Linked DNA regions of Callithrix jacchus. The main gene of each other region encodes a partner of the protein of the gene in region 6 in a complex. Links are inferred from orthologs where the notes say so. Each region holds a gene or a part of one and is shown on either strand. Other genes may lie near its edges.

The links.
Region 1: the proteins of PLK1 (region 6) and MIS18A are in contact, whole or in part, in a crystal structure (PDB 8S30), measured with the Homo sapiens proteins. The link is inferred for Callithrix jacchus from reciprocal best matches to the Homo sapiens genes PLK1 and MIS18A. Residues at the interface, in NP_005021.2 of Homo sapiens: Lys413, Trp414, Val415, Asp416, Asp419, Leu490, Leu491, Arg516, Asn533, Phe534, Phe535, His538, Lys540; in NP_061817.1 of Homo sapiens: Ser50, Met51, Trp52, Ser53, Ser54, Met55.
Region 2: PLK1 (region 6) and SPAG5 share a complex: the UniProt entries of both Homo sapiens proteins name them as parts of the astrin (SPAG5)-kinastrin (SKAP) complex. The link is inferred for Callithrix jacchus from reciprocal best matches to the Homo sapiens genes PLK1 and SPAG5.
Region 3: the proteins of PLK1 (region 6) and MIS18BP1 are in contact, whole or in part, in a crystal structure (PDB 8S31), measured with the Homo sapiens proteins. The link is inferred for Callithrix jacchus from reciprocal best matches to the Homo sapiens genes PLK1 and MIS18BP1. Residues at the interface, in NP_005021.2 of Homo sapiens: Lys413, Trp414, Val415, Asp416, Tyr417, Asp419, Tyr485, Ser487, Glu488, His489, Leu490, Leu491, Arg516, Phe534, His538, Lys540; in NP_060823.3 of Homo sapiens: Asn73, Ile74, Phe75, Gln76, Ser77, Thr78, Met79, Leu80.
Region 4: the proteins of PLK1 (region 6) and CDC25C are in contact, whole or in part, in a crystal structure (PDB 3BZI), measured with the Homo sapiens proteins. The link is inferred for Callithrix jacchus from reciprocal best matches to the Homo sapiens genes PLK1 and CDC25C. Residues at the interface, in NP_005021.2 of Homo sapiens: Lys413, Trp414, Val415, Asp416, Tyr417, Tyr485, Glu488, His489, Leu490, Leu491, Arg516, Phe534, His538, Lys540; in NP_001274511.1 of Homo sapiens: Leu126, Leu127, Cys128, Ser129, Thr130, Pro131, Asn132.
Region 5: the proteins of PLK1 (region 6) and TCERG1 are in contact, whole or in part, in a crystal structure (PDB 3Q1I), measured with the Homo sapiens proteins. The link is inferred for Callithrix jacchus from reciprocal best matches to the Homo sapiens genes PLK1 and TCERG1. Residues at the interface, in NP_005021.2 of Homo sapiens: Lys413, Trp414, Val415, Asp416, Tyr485, His489, Leu490, Leu491, Arg516, Phe534, Phe535, His538, Lys540; in NP_006697.2 of Homo sapiens: Pro101, Pro102, Pro103, Met104, Ser105, Ser106, Met107.

The regions. Positions count from the first base shown.
Region 1 is NC_133522.1:38,414,444-38,418,623, reverse strand, and holds part of MIS18A (protein Mis18-alpha), read left to right. Parts: intron 1-2,475; coding exon 2,476-2,598; intron 2,599-3,214; coding exon 3,215-3,311; intron 3,312-3,904; coding exon 3,905-3,985; 3' UTR 3,986-4,180. UniProt on the Homo sapiens protein: Required for recruitment of CENPA to centromeres and normal chromosome segregation during mitosis.
Region 2 is NC_133506.1:105,011,406-105,016,060, reverse strand, and holds the start of SPAG5 (sperm-associated antigen 5), read right to left. Parts: upstream 2,945-4,655; 5' UTR 2,884-2,944; coding exon 2,833-2,883; intron 373-2,832; exon of another isoform or gene 346-372; intron 1-345. UniProt on the Homo sapiens protein: Essential component of the mitotic spindle required for normal chromosome segregation and progression into anaphase. Required for chromosome alignment, normal timing of sister chromatid segregation, and maintenance of spindle pole architecture.
Region 3 is NC_133509.1:79,851,280-79,855,961, reverse strand, and holds the start of MIS18BP1 (mis18-binding protein 1), read left to right. Parts: upstream 1-1,747; 5' UTR 1,748-1,933; intron 1,934-2,534; 5' UTR 2,535-2,546; coding exon 2,547-2,599; intron 2,600-4,682. UniProt on the Homo sapiens protein: Required for recruitment of CENPA to centromeres and normal chromosome segregation during mitosis.
Region 4 is NC_133503.1:36,753,301-36,757,934, forward strand, and holds the start of CDC25C (M-phase inducer phosphatase 3), read right to left. Parts: upstream 3,206-4,634; 5' UTR 3,079-3,205; intron 2,602-3,078; exon of another isoform or gene 2,560-2,601; intron 2,317-2,559; exon of another isoform or gene 2,315-2,316; 5' UTR 2,251-2,314; intron 2,147-2,250; exon of another isoform or gene 2,111-2,146; intron 1,957-2,110; exon of another isoform or gene 1,831-1,956; intron 1-1,830. UniProt on the Homo sapiens protein: Functions as a dosage-dependent inducer in mitotic control. Tyrosine protein phosphatase required for progression of the cell cycle. When phosphorylated, highly effective in activating G2 cells into prophase.
Region 5 is NC_133503.1:44,965,630-44,970,342, forward strand, and holds the start of TCERG1 (transcription elongation regulator 1), read left to right. Parts: upstream 1-1,498; 5' UTR 1,499-1,523; coding exon 1,524-1,582; intron 1,583-4,713. UniProt on the Homo sapiens protein: Transcription factor that binds RNA polymerase II and inhibits the elongation of transcripts from target promoters. Regulates transcription elongation in a TATA box-dependent manner.
Region 6 is NC_133513.1:24,285,281-24,290,016, forward strand, and holds the start of PLK1 (serine/threonine-protein kinase PLK1), read left to right. Parts: upstream 1-1,710; 5' UTR 1,711-1,764; coding exon 1,765-2,157; intron 2,158-2,890; coding exon 2,891-3,059; intron 3,060-3,797; coding exon 3,798-3,942; intron 3,943-4,736. UniProt on the Homo sapiens protein: Serine/threonine-protein kinase that performs several important functions throughout M phase of the cell cycle, including the regulation of centrosome maturation and spindle assembly, the removal of cohesins from chromosome arms, the inactivation of anaphase-promoting complex/cyclosome (APC/C) inhibitors, and the regulation of mitotic exit and cytokinesis.

The DNA.
Region 1 (4,180 bases), on a different chromosome or scaffold from region 6:
AAAAGATTTGCAACTGTGAGACAAGTGTCAAAGACAGTCTAGCACCAAACCAAGACTTTTTCCTTCTTTTTTTTTTTTTTTTTTTATTGAGATGGAGTTTCGCTCTTGTTACCCAGGCTGGAGTGCAATGGCGTGATCTTGGCTCACTGCAACTGCCGCCTCCTGGGTTCAGGCAATTCTCTTGCCTCAGCCTCCTGAGTAGCTGGGATTACAGGCACGCGCCACCATGCCCAGCTAATTTTTTGTATTTTTAGTAGAGATGGGGTTTCACCATGTTGACCAGGATGGTCTCGATCTCTTGACCTCATGATCCACCCGCCTTGGCCTCCCAAAGTGCTGGGATTACAGGCGTGAGCCACCGCGCCCAGCCTTTCTTCTTTTTTATAATCAGGATTGATAGAGAATTCACTCTCTTTGACTCAGAGCCATTAATACGGTTTGTTTGTGTCACCTAAACCCATCGATTATGCTGCCTTCAGTTGTGTTGGACTTCACTAGGGTTGTGTGCTCCACACTCCCATATTGCTTTGGGATGCTTGTGAATTTTTCCATAAGCCCATCCTGCGGAATACCTGCCTGAGCTATTCTGCTGATGGTCAGCAAGAGCACTGTTGGCTTTAGAAGTATGTCGTGAACGTAGCAGTGCTGTTTCCTCTGTTTAGTATGACTCTGTCCTTTGTTGAGAATCTTACGATCAAATTATTCCTTGTCTAAAATTACCTTAAGATTGTTGCCACTGCTTTCTCAATGTTATTGTTCAAGGAAAAGGGTGAATTCTGGCCAAATTCTTGCCAACTGAAAGCAGAAAGATGCTGGCTTAATAGTAGCTATCGTCTCTTCATTGCTCTAAAAGATGGTTGTAGAAGTATGATCGGGTTCATTCCTATTTTTGGTGGTGTTTAGGTTGATTTTGATAGCTCAGGATAGAACAGTCTTATCCATGGCTCAGTCTATTTGGGGAATTCAAGCCTTTGGTTTCTCTAAGTGTCCTTTCTTGGCTGATGACACTTACGTTAGATATTAGTTTGTAATCTTGGTAATGGTGCGAGGCAGTCTCATAATGGTAATGAGGTTTGATATTTAGCATGGAGGTTTGCTGGTTAACTGTGAGTAATATAGGTGGGATTTGTCAGCATGCTTTTATATTTCTTATGTAAAAACTTATACAAGCTGTCTGGGTATGGTGGCTCATGCCTATAATCTCAGCCCTTTGGGAGGCCAAGGTGAAGGATTGCTTGGGGCTAGGAGTTCGAGACCAGCTTGGGCAACATAGTGAGACTATTTATACTGTAAAACTAAAAAAAGTATAGAAACTTATAAAAGCCCATGGACACTTAATATGTAATCAGTGGCGTATTACTAGCTAATCACATAATCAGTGAGCATTCATGATGTAATCAGGTGGTGCTCCATTTTGTTCTTTGTTCCATATGTTGCTGTAATAAATAACAGTGCCTGTATCTTAGTATCTGTAAGTAAACAATGATGTAGTTTATAATCACTCCGTTTTGCCTGATAGGAATGGATATTTAGTGATTACAAGTGTTTCACGTACTGAGTAGGAGTTATAATACTTTTGCAATAGTATTTAAATCTCCAGTTATCACTTTGCTATGTGTTGGAATGGTAATTTTAGTGTATTTATACAATGGTAAATTTGGATGGGTCAGTTCAACAAGGCATTTGAGAGACGCTGGATTCTAAGCCAGATTTTAAGGAGACATGAATAGGATTTATGGGAGGGTATATTCAAGTGTGTGGAACCTGAGTTGAGAGATAATGAGAATGAAGGAACAATTACATGGGCTGTCATCTAACTTCAGAGAGTCTGTTTTTATTAAGCCAAACAGTATTACTTTCCACTAGAGCAGAGTTTGGTAAACTGTGACCCATGGACTGGGCACCCATTTGTGAATACGAGTTTATTGGAATGCAGATTATTCAGTTATGTATTGTCTATAGGTGCTTCGGTTTTACAGTGGCAGAGGTGAGTAGTGACAGATACCATATGGCTGGCACACCTAAAATATTTATTCTCTGCTTTGTTACATTTAGTTACCCAAAAATTCCTGTCCCTTGCCTAATGTGTTAATGCCCCTTGGTGGGCTTTTTGGACAACATGACATTAAAAGGACATGTAGAATCTTTTTGTGTATTTCCAAATTTTAGATTATTTTTCTTGTACCAGATAGAGGAATTTATATTCCAGAAAAACACCACCTCAGTATCTTTTCTTGTCACTTTTTTGTATGTCCCTTGTCATTTGATACTTAAGACATCATGGTCTAGAGATGACTGTCTTTATATTTTTATTGTAAATATCTTACTATCATTTTTCCCTTCCTATATGTATGATCTGATATGGTCAGAATAGCATACTTGAGAGACTGAAGTGTTTATGGATTTTAAAGATGAGATTTTTATTATAATGAGTTGCTATTTTGTTTCCTAAAGCAAGACATTCCTTTATTGCAGCATCCTTGAGACTTTGTACTGCACGGGGTGCTCACTCAACCTTGGCTACGTGTACAGATGCACACCCAAGAATCTTGATTACAAGAGAGACTTGTTTTGCCTCAGTGTTGAAGCCATCGAAAGGTAAGTGTGCTATATAAATGCTTACCTCACAACTGGTGTTTCAGAAAGTTAAGTTTGCAGAGAAATTGGTACGGAAACTTCAGAACTAAGTCAATACTGTTTGGTTAAATATATTTTCAAGTAATGATTTCTAACAAGCCAGTATTTTTTTTTTTTTGCTTTGACCTGCTTCTTTATTTGGTATTGGAAAAGTCAGACACTCTAAATTGTAGGAGAAAACACTGAGAAATTTTTTTGGAGTAAAAGTATATTCAGTTTTTTAAAAAAATTGAGTGTAGTTTAGTAGGATATTCCCCTTGACCCCAGCTTTTTATTTTTATTTATTTAAAAACATATTTTTTTAAGATATGGGGTCTTGCTCTGTCACCCAGGCTGGAGTGCAGTGCTGTAATCATAGCTTTCTGCACCCTCAAACTCCTGGATTCCAGTGATCCTCCTGCCTCGGCCTCCTAAATGGCTAGGACTACAGGCATATTGCTTGGGGTCTTGCTGTGTTGCCCAAGCTAGTTTCAGATTCCTAACCTCAGATGATCCTTCTGTCTCACCTCCTGAATAGCTGGGAATAAGTGCATGCCACCACACCCAGCTTATATTTTAACCTTGTACTGTACTTCAGTTATGTTTTAGGGTCCTCTGAAAAGCAAATTGTGTCAGAAGATAAAGAACTTTTTAATCTTGAAAGCAGAGTTGAAATAGAAAAGTCTTTAAAACAGGTAATTTTATTCTGTACATTTTACATATTTGTATGAACAATTTCTCAGTGAAGTGCTCTCCCACAAATGATAATTCTCATAATGTCATCTGTTTTGCTCACTGTAAGAGTATGCTTATTTCATTTCAGTTCTTAGTAAAGTTGATCTTTGGGGAACTCAAATGAAGTTAAAGCTTTATCAACAAAATAATAAGGAAGTCATTTCATGTCAAAATCAAAACTGTATGTTCCAACACTGCTAAGCCAGAAATACATTTTTGATTCAAATCAGTATTTTGTTTGAATTGATTTTTGTGGTATATATAGCCTTATTGTTGGATGTTAGCATTTTCTCTTCTCATTGCCAGATGGGTGAGATGGTGATGACCATATGGAAGAGACATAGCTTATAGGTTGAGAACTGCTGTTGATAGAATTATGTTTTATTTTAAAAAATTTAGTTTATGCCTCTGAGTAGTTTTGTTAAACACTGAATATCTACCATGCAATGCATGACATATTCAAAATTGCATTAAGTGTATATTTTAATTATATTTAACCATGTATATTTTTAATGATATTGATATGTGTTTGTTTATTTTTTCAATTCAATAGATGGAAGATGTCTTGCAAGCATTACAAATGAAGCTGTGGGAGGTTGAATCAAAATTGTCCTTTGCCACTTGTAAAAGCTGAACTCTAGTCTGTGTCCTCCATTCTGCCCCCGCCCTTCTTCCCTTTTTTTGTTAAACGAAGCAACGTAGTGAGATGTTGTCACTACCAAAAAAAGAAAAAGAAAAAAATAGCCAGGCATGCGAAAGGCTGAGGTGGGAGGATCACTTGAGCTTGGGAGGTCAAGGCTGCAGTCAGCCTTGATCATGCCAGAGTGAG
Region 2 (4,655 bases), on a different chromosome or scaffold from region 6:
GGGAGTAAGTGGACGCCAGACTTGACGAATTTTTGTTGCCTACGGACCAGGAGATTCCCAGCAGAGGAGCCCCATGGGTCACCAGCGCAACTCTTTTGGCCGGCGCGGCTGTTTTGCCGGTGTCCCATTGCAGAGGTTCTCAGTGTGGAGTATGCGGGACTGGGTGCCCTTTTAGTTGGCATTTGGAGCTCCAAGAAGGCAGAGTCACCCATTCAGCTGATTGAGAGGGGGACTGAAGCCGGGAGCCAGACCGGGAGATTCCCAGGCAGAAAAGCGCCACGAATCTCAGCGCCGCTGTTTCAGCCGGCATGGTCGCAGCACAGGAAATTGCATAGATCCCGGCACCTTTTTGGCAGGCGACTGGGGCACCTGGGAGAGAATCGACCGTTCAATTAGGAAAAGAAAAAAAAGGGGGCTCCGAGGCAGGGGAGCCAGGTGATCGGGCTTGGCTGGTCCCACCCCCCACAAAAAAACAGCAATTGGAAAAGCTGACGCTTGAGAGTTTCACAGCAAGCACAGCTGAACCCGGGAAGGTCCAGCTCTGTGGGGGAGGGGGGTCCACCAAAGGAAAACAAAGAAACAGAAATAACATCACCACCAACAAGCTGGATGTCCGCTCAGAGACCCAATCTGAAAGTCAGCAATTACAAAGACCACAGGTGGCTAAATCCACAAAGATGGGAAGAAACCAGCACAAAAAGGCTGAAAACATCCGAAATCAGAATGCCTCTCCTCCTTCAGGGGACCGCAGCTCCTCATCAGCAAGGGAACAAGGCATGATGGAGAATGAACGTGATGAATTGTCAGAATCAGGCTCCAGAAGGTAGATAATAAGAAACTTCTGTGAGCTAAAAGAACATGTTCTAACCCAATGCAAAGAAACTAAGAACCTTGAAAAAAGGTTTGACGAAATGCTAATGAGAATAGACAATTTAGAGAGGAATATAAGTGAATCAATGGAGCTGAAAAACAACAGGAGAACTTTGCGAAGTATGCACAAGTTTCAACAGTCGAACTGATCAAGCAGAAGAAAGGATATCAGAGGTTGAAGACCAACTCAATGAAATAAAATGAGAAGACAAGATTAGAGAAAAAAGGACAAAAAGGAATGAGCAAAGTCTCCAAGAAATATGGGACTATGTGAAAAGACCTAATCTACGTTTGATAGGTGTACCTGAATGTGACAAAGAGAATGAATCCAAGCTGGAAAATATTCTTCAGGATATTATTCAGGAAAACGTTCCCAACCTAGCAAGGCAGAACAATATTCAACTCCAGGTAATAGAGAGATATTCCATAAAGATATTCCTCAAGAAGAGCAACCCCAAGGCACATAATTGTCAGATTCACCAGGTTTGAAATGAAGGAGAAAATGCTAAGGGCAGCCAGAGAGAAAGGTCAGGTTACCCACAAAGGGAAGCCTATCAGACTCACAGCAGATCTCTCAGCAGAAACCCTACAAGCCAGAAGAGAGTGGGGGCCAATATTTAACATCCTTAAAGAAAAGAACTTTCAACCCAGAATTTCATATCCAGCCAAACTAAGCTTCATAAGCAAAGGAAAAATAATATCTTTTGTGAACAAGCAAGTACTCAGAGATTTCATCACCATCAGGCCTGCATTACAAGAGCCTTTCCAAAAATATACCAAAAGATAAAGAGCATCAACATAATGAAGAATCTACATCAACTAATGGGCAAAACAGCCAGCTAGCATCAAATGGCAGTATTAAACTCACATATATTATTATTAATCCTAAATTTAAATTGACTAAATCCCCCAATCAAAAGACACGGACAGGCAAATTGGATAAAAAGCCAAAACCCATCGGTATGCTGCATCCAGACCCATCTCATATGCAAGAATACACAAAGACTCAAAGGGATGGAGGAAGATTTACCAACCAAATGGAGAGCAAAAATAAATAAATAAATAAATAAATAAAAAGCAGGAGTTGCAACTCCCACCTCTGAAAAAATAGACTTTAAAGCAACAAAGATCCAAAGAGGCAAAGAAGGACATTACATAATGGTAAAAGGATGAATGCAACAAGAAGAGCTAACGACCCTAAATATATATGCACCCAATACAGAAGCACCCAGATACATAAGACAAGTTCTTAATAACTTATAAAGAGACTTAGACTCCCACACAATAATGGTGGGAGACTTTAACATCACATTGTCAATATTAGACAGATAAACGAGACAGAAAATTAACATGGATGGATATCCAGGACTTGAACTCAGACCCGGAACAAGTAAACTTAATAAACGTTTATAGAACTCTCCACCCCAAATACACAAAACATACATTCTTATCAGTACCACATCACACCTACTCTAAAAGTGACTACATAATTGGAAGTAAATCACTCCTCAGCAATTGCATAGCATTTCACGGGTTTAAATGAAATATTGGTTGGCTGCTTGTTTGTTATTTTCCTCCCTTATTCCTTCCTGTCTCCATTGTTAAGCACAATTATTGGCATAAAAGAGGTTTGCAATACCCATTTTTAGACTGCATTCTGGCCTGGGCAATAGAGAAAGACTCCCATTCTCTCTCCCTCTTCCTTCCTCTTTCTTTCTCTCTTTCATTCTTTTTTCTCTTTCTTTCTCTCTCTCTCTTTTCTTTTTTTTTCCAAAAAAAAAAAAAAAGGGAGAGAGAGAGAGAGTAGGCTCGCACCCTAGTCGCGCAGGAGCGGCACGGCGAGCAAGGACTCCACAAACCCCTAACCCCAGGCTCCACCCAACTTTCCAGGACAGTCAACACGGCCGATGCCCCCGACCCAACAGCCCGGCCAGCTCTCTCCGCCAGAGCTCTCTCGATTACCGTCTGGGGCGAAGGCGACAGGCTGAGGCTCAGTTTTTTCGCCCGCCACATCTTCAACACAGAAGACAGGTTGATCACGTCTCCGACCAAGTCGAGGACGCCGCGTTCACCCGCCGTCTGTGTTTAAACCTTCTCCGAGCTTCCCAATTGGCTGCTCCAGGCCGGCGCTTCCGCTCGGGGCCGAAGCCCGCGGGTAGGTGGGCGTGGCAGTGTTGGTCACGCCCCCTATCCCGCCTGCCCCTGCGTAGTCTCGCGCTCTCCGCTGACCAAGTCCTCACCGCAGGCATCGGCGATAGGGCTGGAGGCGAGGCTGGCTCAGGACAGGGCTTGTGTCCTCACATCGGAGAAGACCCCACAGATTGCTAGAGAGTCAAGGAGTCCATCCCTCCTGCTTCCAGTGGACCCCCTCACATCCATGGTGTTCACATCCAAGTTGTCTCTGTGGATGAAGCCTTTCCTCAGGTCTCCCTCAGTCCCCTCCCGCCGCAGCCTTGACGGGAAAGAGCCGGCCAGGGAGTCTAGTAGCCGAAGCGGGTCCGAGCGACTTCCCTAGGCTTGGTGGGACCGCGTCCGGAACGGCCTGGGCTATAATGGTCTAGAAAAGCCTCCAGAGTTTCTGGGCTTTTCCTTGGACTTGCTCAGGCCCGCTATCAGTTCACTGGGATAACAGCCTACATGTATTGAACTTTGAGTGTGTGGCTGGCGCAGTGCCAAATGCCGTGTAGTAGCTCACTTAATCCGCATAAAGACCTTCGTAGTGAGAAGTACTAAAAATATCCCCATTTGAGACAGCAGGGAGCTGAGTCAGAGAGAGCGTGTGTAATTTGCCCAGCGTCCCACAGATAGTAAATGGCAGAGCCGAGCTCCTTCCCTGCCCCGCCAGCGCCTGCCTTCCGCCTCTCGGATCTCCTGTGTTCAGGAAACCTGTTGAAGGTAGGACTGCTAAATGGTAAGTATTCAGAGTGAGCCGTTTGCGATGGTGTGTGTTCCTTTGCACACTCACGGCGCCCTATTTACACTCTACAAGTCTTAATACATTGGGGGAAAGCAGCAATCGAAAGAGGAAAGAACTATGATGTTAGAAACTGAAACGTCCCTGGGGACGGGCTCCTCTAGTACTGTGTTATCCAATACCTAAGCCCTAACCATAGTGGCTTTTGAGGACTTCAAATGTGACTAGTCCCAGTGGGAATGTGCTATAAAGGTAAAACACTTTACACACTGGATTTCAAACACGTCATATGAAAAAAGGAATGCAAAATATAGCAGGGTGCGGTGGCTCATGCCTGAAATCCCAGCACCGGGAAGACAGAGGCAGGAGGATGCTTTGAGCCCAGGAGTTCGACACCTCCCTAGGCAATATAGTGAGACCTTATCTACAAAAACAAACAAAAAAGTTAAGGCCAGGCGCGGTGGCTCACGCCTATAATCCCACACTTTGGGAGGCCGGCAGATCACCTGAGGTCAGGAGTTAGAGACCAGCCTGGCCAACATGATGAAACCCCCTAACAAAAATTAGCTCGGTGTGGTGGGCGCCTGTAATCCCAGCTACTAGGGAGGCTGAGGCAAGGAGAATCTCTTGAACCCAGGAGGCAGAGGTTGCAGTGAGCCGTGATCGTGCGACTACATTCCAGCCTGGGTCACAGAGCTAGACTCTGTCTCAAAAAAAAAAAAAAAAAAAATTTTTTTTTTAAGCCTGCAGTGGTGGCAAACGCCTACCATAATCCCAGCTTGGGAGGATCGCTTCAGCCTAGTTCAAGGCTGCTGAGCTATGTTCATCCCACTGCACTCTAGCCTGGGCAACAAAGCAAGACCGTGTCATC
Region 3 (4,682 bases), on a different chromosome or scaffold from region 6:
CATTCATGTTGGAGCATAATATATGCTACTTCCTTCTCACATGAGAAGTGACTAATTTTTAAAAATGTGCATTTCTAAGTGCCTGCCATTAATATTTCAGGGTTCCTATTTTGTCTAAAGGTGTGAGCCACGACCATCTTCATCGGGCACAGAAACCTCAATTTCAGATGCTTTTGAAATCGGAATGCCAATCCCTTCAAACTTCCTCTATCAAAGTATATTTCATACACGCCATTTAACCTGTTTTAAGGCGGGCTTTTCCCACAAACCTAGTGGAAATCCATGTCCAACCATTTTCTCATTATGATGTACAAGCAAGAAACTTCATTTTATTCAAGTAAATTTGCTTCCTTTCCCCTACCTCCAACTGTTGTTTTTCATTACTTGCAGTCATGTGGATGTTTTATACTTATATTTTGGATTCTGATTATTCGGTGTAGATATAGGACGACTTAGGAGGGATTGCAAGTCACTTTAAAAAAATTAATCCATTACAATCTTTTCAGTATAGGACTCTAAGTCTTAACAGGAAAATGTGATATATGACCAGGAAGCTGACCAATTTTCTTAGATGAACGATAAAATAAAAAGAAACTCACTTGTCACAAATGCGGATGAGCGGTGGAAGAGGGCACATTTCATGCAGGATTGGAAGCGGACAGAATTTGGGGCTGAAAACACGCCTTATTACCCTGGCTTCCACTTCTCTACTTTCAAGACTGAACCAACGAGTTCTATACAAGGCAAAAGATACACCTGCGGTGGTTAAGAGTGCAGATTCATTGGGCGCAGTCTAACGAGGGACGCAGCCTGGAAGCCACTGTTAGAAACTGCATACTGCAACCTAGAGTTGTCAAGATTAATGTTTCTAGAATGAGAGGTGATTAAAAAAAATCTTTTTAATCACTTCCTGGCACGGTGCAGTTGCTTGCCTGTGTAATCCCAGCACTCTGGGAGGCCGAGATGGGAAGATCGCTTGAACCCACGAGTTCGAGACTAGCCTGGGCAACATGGTGAGACCTGCTCTCTACAAAAAAAAAATTAAAATCAGCGAAACCTCGTCGCGCGCGCCTGTAGTTAAAGATACTGGGAGGCTGAGGTGGGAAGATCCCTTGGAGTTTCAGGCTGCAGTAGAACCATTATTGCACTAATGCACTCAGGCCTGGGCGACACAGAGAGACCCTGTCCCCCACACCCCACCCCCACCCCCACAAATCACACTTCTTGTGGAAACCGTTCAAACTAAACATCCCACTTTGTGCGTAACTTTACATTCAATCCATCATTCCCTCAAAAACAAAATGTTCTTTATCCGCCTCAAACATGGAGGACTGAGAAAAACATAAGTTCTCTCAAACCCACGGAGCACGCAGATTTCCGGCGATAGAAGGGAGGGATAGCAGCCTTTACTGCGCACAGCCCGTAGGGGAGGACGGCAGCTAGAAAGGGCCAAACTTCACCGCAGCAGCGCGCGCGCGGCTTGCGGCGTCTCCGACGTCAGCCTTGCAGCGACAGAGCATCACCTGAGGAATGAGGGCATTCAAGTTGGGCGCGTGCGCTGCGAAGACGAAACGAATTAGCTCGCCCCTGTCTGTGACAGCTTATGGTCGCCTACTTTTTGTGGAAACACTACGGTCCACGAGTGCGGAGGCAGCCAGAAATTTGCCTGCGTCCCAGTAAGACGCACGGTGGCGCAATTCCGACCCTACCAATCCCAGGCTGACTGGAGGGCGGGCTTTTCAAATTTGAATTGCGGAAGTGTTGTGGGTGTTAGAGAACCTCGCGGAGTAGGTAAGCGTCGCTTGGGGCCCGGCCGTCGCGGGCAGGGGCCACCGTGGGCCTGAGACGAGAGCCCCGCGGCGTCCGGCCCTCCCTCCGCGCGGAGCCAAGCCTGCACTACCACAGTCTCGCCCTACCAGGCCCTTCACCCAAGGTACGTCCTCCTCGCGTCCTTCGCTCGCCTCCCGTCGCGAGTCCCCGCCGGTGGTGGGCGGCCTGTCCTTTCAGCACCTCGGCCCACGCCGTTTTATTATTAATTTTCGTAGATTTCTAGCTTTGGTACTGATTTTACAGCTGCGCACTCGATGTTTATTTGTTGCGTGTCTACTGCAGAGTAGAACACGATTGCTCACATTTATTTCTATGGTGAGCGTTCTAGGTCTTTGTTCTAAAGTCACTTAAAAAAAAAAAGAATACCAAGTAGGAAAATTGTGTGCCCTAGTACCCAACTCTTCCCCTTGGGGACCCAGGGCTACAGAAGAAGTTCATCCATTCAGTTTATGTTTTCTTCTAAAACACAGCTTTAGATATTAATAAAATTACTTAGAAAATGGTCCGGCGCGGTGGCTCACACCTGTAATCCCAGCACTTTGGGAGGCCGAGGCAGGTGGATCATTTAAAGTCAGGAGTTCAAAAAAATGATAGGTCACCTCACCCTGTCCTTCAGAGATAATACTGTTCACAATTTGGTTCACTTGCTTCCAGAGTTTTTCTCTATGCTTATATGTGTTTCATTTATTTATTTATTTTTACAGAAATGCAATTATATGTTCTGTTCTGCTACATTTTTTCAATTTAATATTTCTTGGATTTTTTCCATGTAAGTACATATATATCTTTTTGTTGAATACATGGAGTAAATTGTATGGATGTGGCGGAATTTATTTTGTCCTTTATTGGTGGACATCTGGGTTGTTTAATTTCATTTTATGGTGCAGGTACTGCAGCATGAACTTCCCTGTGTAGTGGTTGTGTACGCTATGTTGCCTGTTGGTAAAGAACTTAGACTTTGGAGGTAGAATTAGATCATCTTTCTCACTTACTGTTAAGTAAACCTTGGTCGGGTTATTTAACCACCTATACCTTAATTTCTCTCTTTTCAAACTGGGAATAACCACAGTACTTAACTCTTTAGAGTTGCTGTTAGATTATATAGTGACTGGCATGTCAATATTCAGTGAATATCGGCTATTATGATGCATATATATTTGCATTCTTATGTAGGTGTTTCTGTAAGAAAAAAACAAGTTAGAAGTGGAATTTCCGTGTCAGTGGCATACAGACTTGCATTTTGAAATTAATCTTTACCAATATGATATGTAAAAGAAGTCTCACTGTTACAGTTTGCATCTCCGTTTATTAGTAAAATCAGGTGTTACTTGTTTATTGACCTTTTCTATTTCTTCTATTAATTGTCTTTCATGTCCTGTGACCATTTTCTGTTTTGAACATTTTTTTTTTAATTGATTCAGTAGGTCTCTGAATGTTATGTAAATTAATCCTTTGTCATAGGTGCTGAGTACTTATTTCAAGTGTATCATTTACCTCTTAACTTAAAATTCTATTTTTTTTTTTTTTTTTTGCCAATCAGTTTGAGCTTATAAGGTTGCTCAGGTTAGCTTTGAACTGATGAATTCGCCTTCGCAAGCACCACGACCTCCGGCGGGAGCCACTTTGGACCCCTAAAATTCTATTTTTATGCCGAATTCTGTCTCCCAGTTTTGGTTAGTGTGCTCTGGGGTTTTTGACCCCTTCATAGTAATAGCTATTACTATTGTTACCAATACAGTAAATTCTTACAAGAACGTTCCATCTTTTGGGAGGAGGAGGAGGAGTAGTTATATTCAGGATCATATACATAACAATTGTTTAGCTTCAGTTCTGTGTTTATATGTGTCACTTATAACTGCCTGGGATATGTTCTGAGAAATACATTCAGGTGATTTTTGTCACTGTGCCTGTATCATAGAGTGTACTTATAAAAACCCAGGCTATATGTTATATTCTATTGCTCCTAGGCGCCAAACCTGTAACACAGCATGTTACTTTACTGAATATTGTTGGCAGTTGTAACATGGTGATAAGTATTTGTGTATCTAAACATATCAAAATATAGAAAAGGTTCAGTAAAAATAAGGTATCCTATGGGACCTCCATATGTGTGATCTGACATCATTATGCAGTACATGACTGTACTATAAATGCTATGGCCAGCCCTTTCCTACATGGTTTTCCCATTCCTTTGTCTTCATGTTGAAAACATTTTTTTTTTCCTAGTACATCAGCATTTGTCAGCTTTTAGAATAAGTTTTAAGGATTAGATTTTCCAAACAACTTTAAGCAGTTGATGAAAAGAGAAACATACTTTATCCAGTCTTAGAGGGAACTGACAATGAGTGACCTCCGTCTGTCAGGTCAACAAATGTGCTTGGTTGGCTTCAGGACAAACTATTCTTTCCTTCACTTGAGGGATACCAGTTATTTAGTCTCCACTAATGTCTGTGTTTCATCAGAGGCTGATTTATTTTGTTCTTTTAACTAGGAAGGAAATGGAGCTTCAGATCTGTCTTGGTTTATCTAGACCCAGTGTTTTTTTTTTTTTAATTTATTTACTCTGCAAAGCCTCTGTGGTCAGTGGAAATTGTAGACTATTTTTTTTCTCTTTATTCTGTCTTTAACAAACCCCTGGCAAATATTGGCTGCTTTTTTTTTTTTTTTTTTGACTTACATTGAGTTGCTATTTATCACATGGTGGGAAAAAGGTATCTTAGAGCAACTTTCTGCATCTTTGGGAGGGGAAGTGGAATTTGAAGGCTTTTCAGAATCTTGGCTACCCAATCTTTATCCTACTACTTGCGTGAATTGGGGGCAAAGATGTTAGGCAACAGAAATCTTTGTGCTGG
Region 4 (4,634 bases), on a different chromosome or scaffold from region 6:
TGGAATAAGGAGATTTCATTATGGGTAGGAGTGTTAGGCTGCACTGGGAGGCTATTTAATAGATGATGAAAGGGGATGTAACCTTCCTTTGAAATGAGGCTTGAAACTTGCAGGGTTTTTTGTTTTTTTTTTTTGTCTCAGTTTCTTTCAATGTTTTGCAAATGAGCCAATGCCTACTTTCAACTCAATCATGTAATTAGTAAGCTTGGTTAATAATAAAAAGGGGAAGAGCTTAGCAGTGAAAAGCAAGGGCTTTTTGAATCTCTTTTAGACTGCTTTTTGATACTACCTCTACCTACCACGTGGGCAGTCACTTAATCTCCTGGGCTGTTTCCTTTGTCAAAGAGAAAGTTTTGTTTCATTGGATGACTGTAAAAAAAAATGAGAATATACATCAAAGTATGTAGGCCAGGTATGGTGGTTCACACCTGGAATCCCAGCACTTTTTTTTTTTTTTGTTCTTTTGTTTTGTTTGTGGCCCAGGCTGAAGTACAGTGGCATGATCTCAGCTCACTGCAACCTCTGCCTCCTGGGTTCAAGCGATTCTCCTGCCTCAGCCTCCGGAGTAGCTGGGATTACATGTGGGCACCACCACGCCCAGCTAATTTTTGTATTTTTTAGTAGAGATGGGGTTTCACCATGTTGGCCAGGCTGATCTGGAACACCTGACCTCAAATGATCTGTCTGCCTTGCTTCCCAAAGTGCTGGGATTACAGGTGTGAGTCATCATGCCTGGCCATTTGAGCACTTTGTGAGGCCAAGCTGGGAAGATCATTTGAGGCCAGAAGTTTCAGACTACCCTGGGCAACATAGCAAGGACCCTCTCTCTACAAAAATAGAAATAAATATGCTGGGCATGGTGGCACACCCCTGTAGTTCTAACTACTCAGGAGGCTGAGATGGGAAGGACTGCTTGAGCCCAGAAGTTCAAGCTGCAGTTAGCTATGATGGTCTCACTGCATTCCAGCCTGAGCAACAGAGCAAAACCCTGTTTCTGCAAAAAAAAAAAAAGCATGGTGTCTGGCACATAAGTGCAATTATTAGAAACTATGTGTCCCACACTTCATGGTGCCTGCCTCTGCTCCTTTTGCCAAGGGGAAATAGGCAGTGCAAGGTAAATCTCTCTACCCCTATTTTCTCAGTTATTATTGTACCTCACTTTTCCTCTACTCTTTTTCAGTTTGCAGACTTTGTGGCTCCTGCTTCCTCATCTACCTGGCTCTGTGAGGAAGATCCCCACCATTGGCTCTACTTTCCAGCTGATCACAGCTATTTACCTGTCCCAGTCATGAGTAAGGCACAAAATATTTACAGAGAACAGATGTCTTTCAGAGGACTTTCTGCTAAGTGTAATAGTGAAGATTACTTGCATTACTGCTACTTTCCAATCAATTGAAAAAAAATCGAAAACTTTGCATTACAAAGAGATCACAACACGAAGGCATTGTTTAAAGCCTCTTCTTCATCCACTTTTTTGCTTGTCTCCCTGAACCATCTGTGAGGCTGAGACTCAAATTTACATAAGAGCCAGAAACCATCAACCCAACCTCTTCACACACTAACGTCTACATTCAGTCTCTAAAAAAGACTTAAACTTTGGCTCATGTGGGAAGTGGTGGTAGTGGTGGAGACTTAATAAAAGGTGGTTTTGTCTTCCTGAAGTGGAAATGTAGGGCCGTCACATCTTTTCACCATCTGCCTGTTTCCTCCCTCCCTTTCTGTTTAACGAAAGTGTAACCACCGTACTTCTCCCCACCTCCCCGCACCTCCCCCCACCCAACGCAAGCAACTGAACCGCCTATGATGTCATAATCACAATCCCATTACCTCATCCTGCTGGGGGGGGGGCGGAGAGGGAGGATAGGGAGTGAACAGCCTTGGGCTATCCTGAGCTTTACAAAGTGTTCTGGGTGAGGGCAAATTACAAAACCGAGTGGAAACGGCCCCGCAACCATTGTAAGTCCTGGGTTTTTAAGATTCATGCCGATCCGGCAGCTGCAAGAGGGGCTCCTGGGACTCAGAGCAGGCCCTGATCGGCGCTTGGACCACACTTCCCAGCAGCCTTCACGCGGCGGACAGGTCCTTTGCAGGGGGAAGGGGGAATTCCTTCGAAGAGGTGGCCGTGGAGGGCGGAGCAGCAGAGCAGGTGATGGGGCACTGTGGCTAATTGCGTGACGCGGCCAGAACCGCGTGGGAGGCTGTAGTTGGGCCGACGGAGGGAGGGAGGCCAGGGGCGATGCCTTTGTTTACCTTCTTCCGACGGGGCCTCCCCCGCGGGTTTCAAGATGTGCCTCCGACTGGGACCGTCCACTTTCTGAGAGATTTTGAAGGGGTGACTCGTTAGTGAGGAAACCACCCCCATCCCTAAATCAAAGCGTCAGGCTACTTCCCGACAGCGCTATCTGAGAAAGACGTTGACAGAGACACCACACGGGGCTGCGGCCTCCGCGGGTGGCTCGAGGGGATTCTGCTAGCCGGAGCTGTCCCCCTACTCTCCTCAGGGACTCGTTGGTTCGCGCCAGCGCCTTTTAAGGGCACCGTGGGGCGAACGGAGCGCTCAGAGCTGCTCCGGCCGTGGCCCTGGGAGCTGGAGGAGCTGCGGTAGGTGGCAGAGGGCAGGTGGCGCTGGGGCCTCGGGGCGGGCACCTCAACTGTCCCTCCCTCCTTCCCTCTTTCCCCTCCCCCAGTCCTGCCGCCTGTGCGGCCGGGCCTCGCAGGCCGCCTCCGCGGGGAGAGCACGGGACCCGGTGGGGGAGGGGGTGGCGGAGTGCTAAGTCCCAGACCCTCCCCATCCCTTGCGTCGGGAGTTCGCTTCCCGCGGCCAGATGATGGAACCTAGTGGGAAGAGGCAAACGCCAGCCCCCCTGAGCAAGCCCTGGCGACCCCCCCCCGCCGCGGACCAGCGGACGCCCCATGCCCCACCCCGCGGGGACAGGCAGGGCAACAGAGGGATAGCTTGAAGATTGAAGGGGCCTAGCCTTTTGCTTCTTCATGGGGGTGGGGGAGGGGTGTTTCCCACTTGTCACCACTATTCCCACCAGAACCATATGGAAGAAGAGGCGGAAGGTCTCCACTTACCTGTTCGTGCACCTCCCTGCCTTCCTCATGTTTTCCTTCAGTCTCCCCAAGAGGTGTAGGGCTGGGACCTGGGGGAAGGTCCCCAAGGGATTTGTGACTCTCCTCCCTCTTGGCCTGACTTGATTCTACCTTGTCTAGGTTCAGCACAACCTCCGCATCCCTGAAACAGGAGTGTCAGGGGTTACTGCCATCCAGTAGCAGATGGGGTGGGGGTCCGATCTTTATTTTAGGGGGCTGATGGTGGAGGAAAAGCCTGGACTGAGGGTTAGGCCTGGTGGGGTTGCTGAGAGGGCCTAGCGGCCTGCTGCTCTGTGAAGGGCTAAGCCCTTGTGCCAGTTGTTAAACTGAGAAGTTTTAACTTGTTTAGTGAACGTTCAGGGCTGTCTCTACCCTTCAGATACACAAAATGGAAGGGGAAGGAAGGCAGCAAGATCGGGCTTCTTACACTTTTTTCAATGCCTGCTTGAGAAAGAGGAGGCCCCTCGCGGAGCTGGTTTGCCTTCTTTTGTGTCCTGGTTTGATTCCTTATGGCTTCCGTTCTGTTCCCCCTCTCAGCCTGGCCTGTTTTAGGAAACTCAGGCTGAGAGTATCAGTTGCGTGGTGGTAGTTGCATTGTTCCAATTACCGCTGTGTGTGGCCACATCCCAACAATTAAAATGCAGAAAAACACAAATTCACTCTATTCACCTATCCTAGAGATGATTGGGAGTTTGCTGTTGTCCAAATATCTTTCGAAAAGCTAGAGAGTTTGTTTCACTACCCTGTTCCTCCTAGCTGGTGAGCCTGAGGCCTGGGGTCTCTAGGGTAAAATCCTGCACTTAGGTTTCCTCTCTGGTTGATCTTTGAAGGCAGAGTTAAGAAACCAAGAGCAAAAGTGATATAAGCTTTAGCTTCTCCCATGAGAACATAGGGGAAGCAGCTGAAGGGAGCTCCCCGGAAGCTAGAATTTTGTTCAGGGTGGTAATAATTATGCATGAAAATGGTAGTTAACTCTAATGATGATTGACTTCTCTTGCACCTTTCTTCCAAAGAACTCCAAGTACATCCAGATTCATTTCTTTGCTCTTCCTTGTGGCCTCCTTCTGAGGTGTGAATGGGTTAGAGATGATTTCCTCTTTATTGTACAGTGGTCTGCCCCCAAGGTCACAGAAGGAAGAGCCTTCTTGGGCTTTTTTTTAGTGTGCAGGTGAGGGAGGATGGTATTCAGCCAGAGATAGACCCTGTTGCCTTCTTCATCTTACTGATATCATTACTTCTGACATTCTGAGGTCTTGAAGATTCACAAACAGAAATGAGAAATGGTAGTCTATGTGGACTCCTGATTTTTACAGGCCAGGTGGTACCTTTTGTACATTTTAGTATGTTATGTTGTTCCTGTGACAGGTTTAGATTATTCTACCTACTTTACATATGGGTAAACTGAGGCCAAGGAGTATTAAATGATTTGCCAAAACTCTCAGAAAATTAGATTTAATAATTAGATTTCTTGATCATTTGTTCTTTTGACTAGCTAATGCTGCATACAGTCTCTGGTAATCTGTCAGCCTGCTGGTCAT
Region 5 (4,713 bases), on a different chromosome or scaffold from region 6:
ACAGTTATACCATATTTTTTAACCATTCATCAGCTGATGGTCATTGGGTTATTACAATACTTTTTGGCTATTATGAACAATGCTGCTGTGAACACTTGTGCACACGATTTTATGTGGATCCAATTATTTAGGCTCATAGTATTTAAGAGTGGTGCTTTGCTACCACGCTGCCTGCAGTTAGACCAGCCTCTGCTATTTAGTAGCTGTGTGACCTTGGGCAAGTTAATTAACTTCTCTGTGCCTCAAGCTCATTATAAACAGTGACTATGTTACCACCTCTTACTGATTTTTGAATTGTGAAAGAGCTCACATATGGGAAGTATTTAGATCAGCATTTGCTACATGGTTAGGTCCAAGTAAAATTTATCTATTAGTATTATTTTAATATTTTGAGGACGTTAAGAGAAGGGCTTATCTTCATTGTGCCTTTGAAACCCCAAAGCCTACACTTTTATTTATTAATTAGAAAAACGAAATAAATACTCAGAATTGTTTGGTATTCCAGGTGTGCTAATTTCAGACGGTACATTTTGAGGTCGAGGGAGAGATGCGAAAGCTGTAAATCGCTAAGAGGCTTGCCTTCTCCAACTTATCTTTCTTTCTTTTTTTTTCCGTAGTCTCGCTCTGTCTCCCAGGCTGGAGCGCAGTGGCTCGATGTCTCTCGGCTCACAGCAACCTCTGCCTCCTGAGTTCAAGCAATTCCCTGCCTCAGCCTCCCAAGTAGCTGGGATTACAGGTGCCCGCCACCACGCCCGGCTAATTTTTGAAGTTTTAGTAGAGACGGAGTTTCATTATCTTGGCCAGGCTGATCTTGAACTTCTGACCTTGTGATCCACCCACCTCGGCCTCCCAAAGTGCTGGGATTACAGGCGTGAGCCACCACCCCGGCCCAATTTACCTTTCTTAATGCAGCAACTCAGAACACCTATTCACTTGCAACTATTTAGTATAATTTGGGAGATATTCTTGTAATGAATAATATTATTTAATAACATGGATATAGACTAGACTTCCATATAGCTAGGATATAGCTACTGTATAGCTAGGATATAGCGGCTTTCCACAGCAACTGTGCGATTGGTTTAGGGGCGGCCGAGGTCGATTTTGATTGGCTTGTCCAGTGGAAATGCTCTCTGACGGAGCTACTACTGGCCAATATGGCTCCACAATTGGCTGTCCTGGAAGCCGACAGACACGTGGCTACCGCAGGCTGAGATGAACGTGGGAGGACCTAGTTCTGCTTACCGCGAGAGGGCACCGGCGGATTCCTCGCTGCTAAAATCTCATTTCCCATAAAGCCCCCGAGCCACCAATCAACTAGCTGTCTTCATACCGCTTTCAAAGTCGGCGGGCCCCTTGCCCAGTAGCAAAAAAGATATCGCCCTCATCTCGAAGATTGATGGGAAGATTGACCAATTATGTCCCAGATCCCTGTTATCACCGCCTCTCTCGTTAGGGATTGACGATTTTTCTAGCCAATAGGGGACGCCGGGTCGGCGGGTGGATGAACGCGGCTCTCTGTAATGGCGGAGCGTGGTGGGGACGGGGGCGACGGTGAGCGATTCAACCCGGGGGAGCTCAGGTAAGGGACGCTGCCTACCCTCACATCTCGGGTCACGAGAGCCCCAGAGGCTAGGCCTGCTGTGTGGAGATCCAGGGCAGACGGTGGGCAGCAGAGCCGCGGCGGCCCTGGGCCGGGACCGCATGGGGTTTAAGAAGGGGGAAGGGGAAGGTGGCTTGAATGAGAGCCGGGCCCGGGGCTGGGCCACGGCCTCCTGGGCGTTCTCGGGCTTCTCCCTAGTGCTTTTTCGGGGCTCCGCTGCCCCTCGCGGCCTGCAGCCTGCCGGCCGGGCCCGGTACTCCCGCCTTTGGGCCCCGCCTCAGCCGCGTGTCGCCTCTGTCTCGGCCGACCTGAGTCCGTCCCCCGGCGGCGCTCCGCTGCGGGCCTGGTTTTCCTTATCGACTTCCCTGCACTCCGCAGTTACTTTCCCGGGACCCCTTGCCACTTTTGGCTAAGCCTTCTCCACGCCCTCCGCGGCTCTTTGGGCTCCCCACGTTTGCCCTTTCATTTCATCCCCTACGTCGCTTGTCTTTCTTGAGTTGGCTTTTCTTCCTTTTTTCATCCCTTTATTCCTTATTCTGTAGTTGTGAGTAACAACAACAGTAGCAACCGCTTGTTAGGCACTTACTGTGTGCCAGTAAACCCTTTACTTAGGTTTGTCTCATTTAATCCTCACAACCACCCTTTGGAGTAGTTGCTATTTCCATTTTGCAGGCCACAGACCAGAGGGGTCTTCATTTGTTACTCACCCATCTTACGGGTGAGATAACTGAGCCTCGTGGAGGTTGAGTCAGTAGAATTAAGATTGCATAGGTGGATTTGTGGCTCCAGGAAGTGGCTGGAACTCAGGCAGTCAGGTTTCAGAGCCTGCAATCTCGATCGGCATTCTATTCGTCTACTACTCATGCCATTTCCCTGAGCAGTGCAGTGACTTTTTTACCCTGGAACCTCAATGCCTATGAATTTGTAATTAAAATTTGGTAAAATAAGAGTGACCTGGAGAAATCTGTTGGTTACTGGTTTTTGTGGAAAAGAGGAGTTACGTTTTATGCGTATTTGGTACTTTTTTTTTTTTTTGGATGGGAGAAATAGCATTTCAGATGTTCAGCTCCCATTCTGAATTGTGCTATTGTCAACATTTGAAAATGAAAAAAAGCAGTGTAGATTATGAAGACTCTGTTCATACTGTCTAGAGCTTAAGATGAAATTGTGTAAGGAAATGGGTATTGTTATTCAAGGTTTTAGAGGAAGAAAATGCCTTTCGGATTCTGAATGGTCGCACATACAGATCCCTACTTTGGCAGGAATGAAATGTCTTATTTCAGAGACGAATCTGAAATCCTTTAAACTCCATATGTATACCGGATTAATGAGTGATCAAGCTGAATTGTCAGGATCTTTCAATATTAGTGATGCCAAGTTTATTCCTGATTTCCGTCTTAAAGGGAGTTTACTTAGCTAATTTCAGATGAATTTATTAGGGAACATTATTTCGCGTTTTAAAAAGTATCTTTCTAAAGCTTTACTTTTAAAAAAGGCTTTATTAATAAAGCTGTTTATACTTTATTAATAGTCTAGACACTGTGGCAAAACTGATTTGAATAGGGCTTCAGTTTGCAAATGAATTTGCCCTGTAGCAAATATTTTATACCATAGCCTCTTGGATTGGAAGTTGCTTGCAGAGCATACTGTACAAATCTTTATTTTAGCATTTCTCATGAAATTAGGTGTTTTTGTGGCCTCTTTGATGGCAGAAGTTGGGGCTTAATCTTTGTCTTTGTATCCTGAATGTACTTCATGGTATGTCTGTCATAACTGCCTGGCAAATGAGATGTTCAGTAGTTATGTTGCAAATAAACGAAGACAGGAGATTTAGAGATACTTCTCTTATTGGGCTGACGTTTATTGTGTGCTGCTCTGTGTGACAGTTACTGACCTAGGTGCTGGCAGTAGTGCCCAGAACCAGACCAGAAAAAGATGTTTATCCTGAAGGTGCTTCCAGCTTAAGTAAGAGCCATCTCAACTGTAAACGAAATCAACCCCATCAAATGATTAAATATGCCTGTAAGTGTGAAGTGACTTATACAAGGTCACTGGGTAGTTGGCAGGGTCTAGACTAAATCCCATGTCTCCTCACTCACAGTTCATATGATTTGCCCCCCCATATATCAGTAGCATTTTAAAAATTTCTTGCCCCTCCAACTATAGTATTGTCTTTACCATTAAAGAGATTGCATATCTGGAAAGAGTACTTCTATTATAGAAAAATGCGTGGTTTGCATTTTGATGATCTTGTTAAATATTTTTGTTCTTTGTATTCATGCAATTAGGCTTTTGTTTTTCAGAAAGGTTGTAAGTAGTAGGAATGCAAATCACGATAGATGGAAAATTTATAGACATTCCAAATGCCATTAAGGTGACTCCCAGAGTCTTTTGTATAGATCCTTTACCTAGGGCCTTTGTTTATCTATTAGTACTTAAGATGCTTTTGCAATCTAAATTTCCTTATCTCTAAAATGAGAATAAGAATATTCTGGTGTTATCACTGACTAGCTGCCTTAAGAGAATTATTTTTTGGTGGTACCATTTCCTCTGTAAAAATGGTGCCAAACTTAATTATTGAGCTGTAATGAGGATTAAGAGTTAATATAGTTAATGTCTCTATAACCGTGCTGCTGGTATATAGGAACTTTACTGTCACTATTAAAACAATAATGTGTTTTAATGTGTTGCAACAGTATACTAAAGGGAACCATGTACTAGTGGCTAAAGATAATACAGAAGTAAATGAGAGATTTCTTCATAGCATTTATCATAATTGAAAACTCAAATTGGGGATAATGAGCCTGAGAGGGCCTGGAGAGGCTAGAAGTGGGAAAGCAGTTTGAAGTGACATTTGAACTTAACGCTGAATAGTGAGAAGGAGCTAGTTATGTGAAAATCTGAGGAAGAACATGCCAGGCATTGAGAACAGGAGCAGAGGCTTCAGAGTAATAAACTTTGTATTTGTATTTAAAGGAAAAGACTAGAGTTTGTGGAAGGGTTAACATGGGCCAGGTAATACAGGACCTGGTAATAATAATATAGTAATAATAGCTAACATTATTACTAAAATACTATTTAACACTTACCAGTACTATTACTGTACTAAT
Region 6 (4,736 bases):
ACATTTTTTTCTGTAAGTGTATTAAATTTCAATAAAAAGAATAATTCACACCATGGGGGTACAAAATAATTTTTCAAAGTCTTCCTTTTATTCAGCTGACATTTTAGTAAGTACCCTTTTTTTACCAAGCACTGCTCTGGGAGCTGGGGACATGAGGTGGAAAGGACAGCATCATTGTCCTCTTTGTCCTTTGGCTTAGCTGCAAGGCAGGTGAAGGATCCTTATAATATGGTTGATTTTTGCTGGGCTCTAATGGATTGGAGGGTGCTAAAGAGACACAGAGAAAGAGCCTCTAACTTGGGTATTTTGCTGTTCCAGAGTTGCCACTCAAGTACCTACAGAAGCTAGAAGCCAGACAGGCAAATGGACAAAGGGGTATAGCTGGTAACTGGGGCAAACTGAAAGCACGTAGGCACAGAGTAGCTAGCACTTGTAATTTTTTCAGGAAAAGCCACATATCCTAATTTTTATGAGCTCTTCTTTTAAATGCTGTAAATGTTTTAGAAGGGCTGGGTGCGGTGGCTCACACCTGTAATCCCAGCACTTTGGGAGGCCGAGGAGGGCAGGTCACTTGAAGTCAGCAGTTTGAAACCAGCCTGGCCAACATGGTGAAACTGTCACTACTAAAAAAAAAAAATGAGCCGGGCCTGGTGGTGGGCTCCTGCAATCACAGCTACTTGGGAGGCTGAGGTGGGAGGATTGCTTTCAGCAAGCCAAGGTTACAGTGAGCCGATCGGGCCACTGAACTCCATCCAGCCTGGGCGACAGAGGGAGACTCCATCTCCAAAAAAAAAAAAAAAAAAAAAAGGAGGCCTAACAAAACCCCGCAAGACACATTGGCTATGACCTACGAGTTTGTTAGGCATTTTTCCAACCTTACCTCCCTTTGACCAAGAAACAGTGTCCTCCATTTTAGGCCCTGGGAAATTCAGCAGCGAGCAGGCCAGACAGCTTCGTTGCATCATGGGGGGCTCTGGTACTGTGCTTCTCCAACTTCAGGATGTGTAGGAATCACCTGAGCAGTCTTGTTGAGAGGCGGACTCTGACTCGGGAGATCTAGGGTAGGGCCTGAACATTTGCCTTTGTGGTTCTAACAAGCTCTCAGGTGATGGGGATGCTGCTGTTCCCTGGCCCCTCCTTTAAACAGCGCTGCTCCATAATCTTGAGGAGCTCAAAAGCAGCAGTTATTTGAAGGAGCAGGACTACAGTACTGGCCATGAAGGTATGTTTGGCAAGCACACTTTTACTTAATTTTAATTCATTTGGGGTGGCTTGGCTGAGAGCTGACAGCATCGGAGGCGAGTGTTAAGGCTCTCCCAAACTACTTTATTGGCGTGCCAGGTCCCTACTCAGCTTACATACTAGGTGGGGTGGAGGTGGAGGAAAGTCTAAGGAAAAGCTTAATGGAGGAGGCGCAAGTGAACTGCAGGAGCTTTCCCGGACGCCCAAGAAAGGGAGAAACCCTAAAGAAATTCCTCCCTTCTCGGGCCGGGTCTCCGTAGCCACGCCGGGTTTGGTTTCCCAGGCTATCCCACGTGTTCGGGTGTCCCTGTCAATCAAGTTTTCCCCGGCTGGGTCGGGGTTTAAAGGCGGCTGCGGGGCAGGGCGCTCCCATGGTTCCGCGCGGCGAGCGGGTTTGGATTTTAAATCCCCGCGACCAATCAGTAGCGCGCAGGCTTTTGTAACGTTCCCAGCGCCGCGTTTGAATTCGGGGAGGAGCGGAGCCTCTGCTCGGATCGAGGTCGGCAGAGCAGCTCCGAGAGCATGAGTGCGGCGGTGACTGCGGGAAAGCTGGCACGAGCACCGGCCGACCCTGGGAAAGCCGGGGTTCCCGGAGCTCCAGCGGCGGCCCCACCAGCGAAAGAGATCCCAGAGATCCTAGTGGACCCACGCAGTCGGCGGCGCTATGTACGGGGCCGCTTTTTGGGCAAGGGCGGCTTTGCCAAGTGCTTCGAGATATCGGACGCGGACACCAAGGAGGTGTTCGCGGGCAAGATTGTGCCTAAGTCTCTGCTGCTCAAGCCGCACCAGAAAGAGAAGATGTCCATGGAAATATCCATTCACCGCAGCTTGGCCCACCAGCACGTCGTAGGATTCCACGGCTTTTTCGAGGACAACGACTTCGTGTTCGTGGTGTTGGAGCTATGCCGCCGGAGGGTGAGTGTCGCTGCTAGGGAACTGGAATTGCCTGCGGGGCAGTTGGAGAGCCTGGACCTGGAGCAGCTGCTGGAAAGAGTGCCCAGGAAGGGAGTGCCTGGGACTTGGAGCTGGTTGAGAAGGGTGCTGGGAGCCTCCCGCTTAGGTATGGAAAGTGTCTTTGGTAAGGGCTTCTTGCCTCTTGGAACTGCTAGAAGAGTGGGTTCCAGTGAAGTGGAGTCTGAGTCAGGTTGCTGACCGGGAAGTCAGCTTCTGGACGCTGGGGGGAGGGGTGCTGGTAATGGACTCTAGGGCCCTAGAGTGCCCAGGGAGGAGTCCCAAGGTTAGTGAAGCCGCGCACTGGGAGCTTCCGGAGTGGGGTCTGGTCAGTAAGGAGGTAGTTGCAATCCAGACTTCGGTCCTTCCCGGGGAAATAAGAATCAGGAAAGGGATCTGCTGCTGGGCACTCGGAGCTTCCGGAATGGGGCTGAGAGAGGACCCCCAAGTAAGAGAGGAAGCTAGGGGAAGGGGTGCAGCGAATGGTTGTGAGTAGTGTTAAAGGAGGGTCCAGATAGCAATTGTCCTGGAGAATGGGGTGGGGGCTTAGGAAAGGAGAGAAACCCACCAAGACGCCACTTTGATCCGCCAGGAGTCTAGGTCCTGTTCTTCCTTTACCTAGTAGTAACCCTCTCCCTTCCCCACCGGCCTCAGCACCACCCTCCCATCCCTCCTGCCCTCTCCTTCCCACCCACAGTCTCTCCTGGAGCTGCACAAGAGGAGGAAAGCCCTGACTGAGCCTGAGGCCAGATACTATCTGCGGCAGATTGTGCTTGGCTGCCAGTACCTGCACCAAAACCGAGTTATTCACCGAGACCTCAAGCTGGGTAACCTTTTCCTGAATGAAGATCTGGAGGTGAAAATAGGTGAGTTGCTGAGCCTGCAGGGTGCTTGACATCCCTACAAGAGGCTGGAATTTGGAGGAGGCTGGGAGAAAGGATAGGAAGGAGACCAGGAGGAAGGAAGAGGATGGATGGTGAGAAGTTTGGGCGTTGATTGCTTCTATAATTCTCTCCTTTGTCCAGAAATTTAAAACAAACGCCCACAAGTCAGTATCTTGCCTGAAGACACATTATAGCCCCAATACAGGACTTTTTTTCAAATAATTTGAGTTTGTTTCTATTTTTTAAAGTGGAAAGCTTGACATAAAAATTTTGATTCAGAGCTCCTTTTAAACAGGTGAAAGCTCCAGTAATACGAGGGCGGCATTTTCTTAGGGCAGCCCATTGCTGGGCTGGAAAGCAGCTGTCCCTTCTGACATGTTTGCCAAGGTCTCTACTCCTCCCTATTCTTCACAGGCTTGCCAAGTCTTGGCGGTTACTTGCTTGATTCTTGAAGGCACTGGAGTTTTGCTGTCCCTGTCAGTTCCCATTTTGAAGCATAGCCCCTTTCTAAGGGGTAGGGTTGTGAAGGGTCACTGGAGGCACCTCCCTGAGGTCAGCATGGCAGGAAGATTTCTGGGCAAGCCTTGCGGCATACAAGGAGCAGAGGCTTGTGGGATCAAATGGCTCTGCTTCTTGATGGTCAAACCTTAACTAGCTTTCTGCATTGACAGATGGCAGAGGCTGGCATTTAAGTACCCATTCTTCCTCCCTCTGTCCCAGGGGATTTTGGACTGGCAACCAAAGTCGAGTATGACGGGGAGAGGAAGAAGACCCTGTGCGGGACTCCTAATTACATAGCTCCCGAGGTGCTGAGCAAGAAAGGGCACAGTTTCGAGGTGGATGTGTGGTCCATTGGGTGTATCATGTAAGTTGGGAGTTGTCTTTGGATCTGCCTGGTCTCAGCAGGGGCAACTTTGGGACATCCTACTTGGCTGACCTTTTCTATGGACCTTTCTGCCTGCTTTACAGAAAGCCTATTCTAGGGGACAAGTGACCCCCAAACGAAGCCTAATTGCTGTATCTTTCCCTGTCACTGGTGTATCCTATCAGATTTCTGCAGCCTAGGCCATGGGTACAGAGGAGGAGGAGGAGGAGGAGGAGGAGGAGGGGGAGGGAGGAGGGAGAGTCTTCACAGCCTTACTTTAGTCCTTTGCTAGAGTGGTCCACAGGGCAGCATCACCATCATCTGGGAACTTGTATGCGGAATCTCAGGGCCCAGACTACTTACTGGATCAGAATCTGGATTTTTAACAAATCCCTTGGTGATTTCCATGCACAATAAGGTCTTAGAAACACTGATGAGCATTAGCATGGTGGGAGAAATTAGGCCAGGAGTTACAGATGGCAGGATGAGGTGCCAGTGGTCCCTCTGGATTGAGACCATCAGCTGCGATTGGTGGCAGGCAGAGGCTTGGGCCTTTTCAGGTATTATCTTTGTTTTTGGCATAGGTACTAGAGAGTTAGAAATAAGTCATAGCGATGGCTTTCATGTGTCTTTGAGGTGGGTTTGTTTTTAATGAAAACTTGAAGCCTTAAGTACAGAACTGCTAAAGGTGGAGCTGCTTCTGTAAGTGCAGGTAGCCCTTTGACGTGTTTTGCAAGGCAGGCAGCCTCTGAGGCCCTTGCACAGAGTCCTAGATACCCTCAGGCTATAGCTGG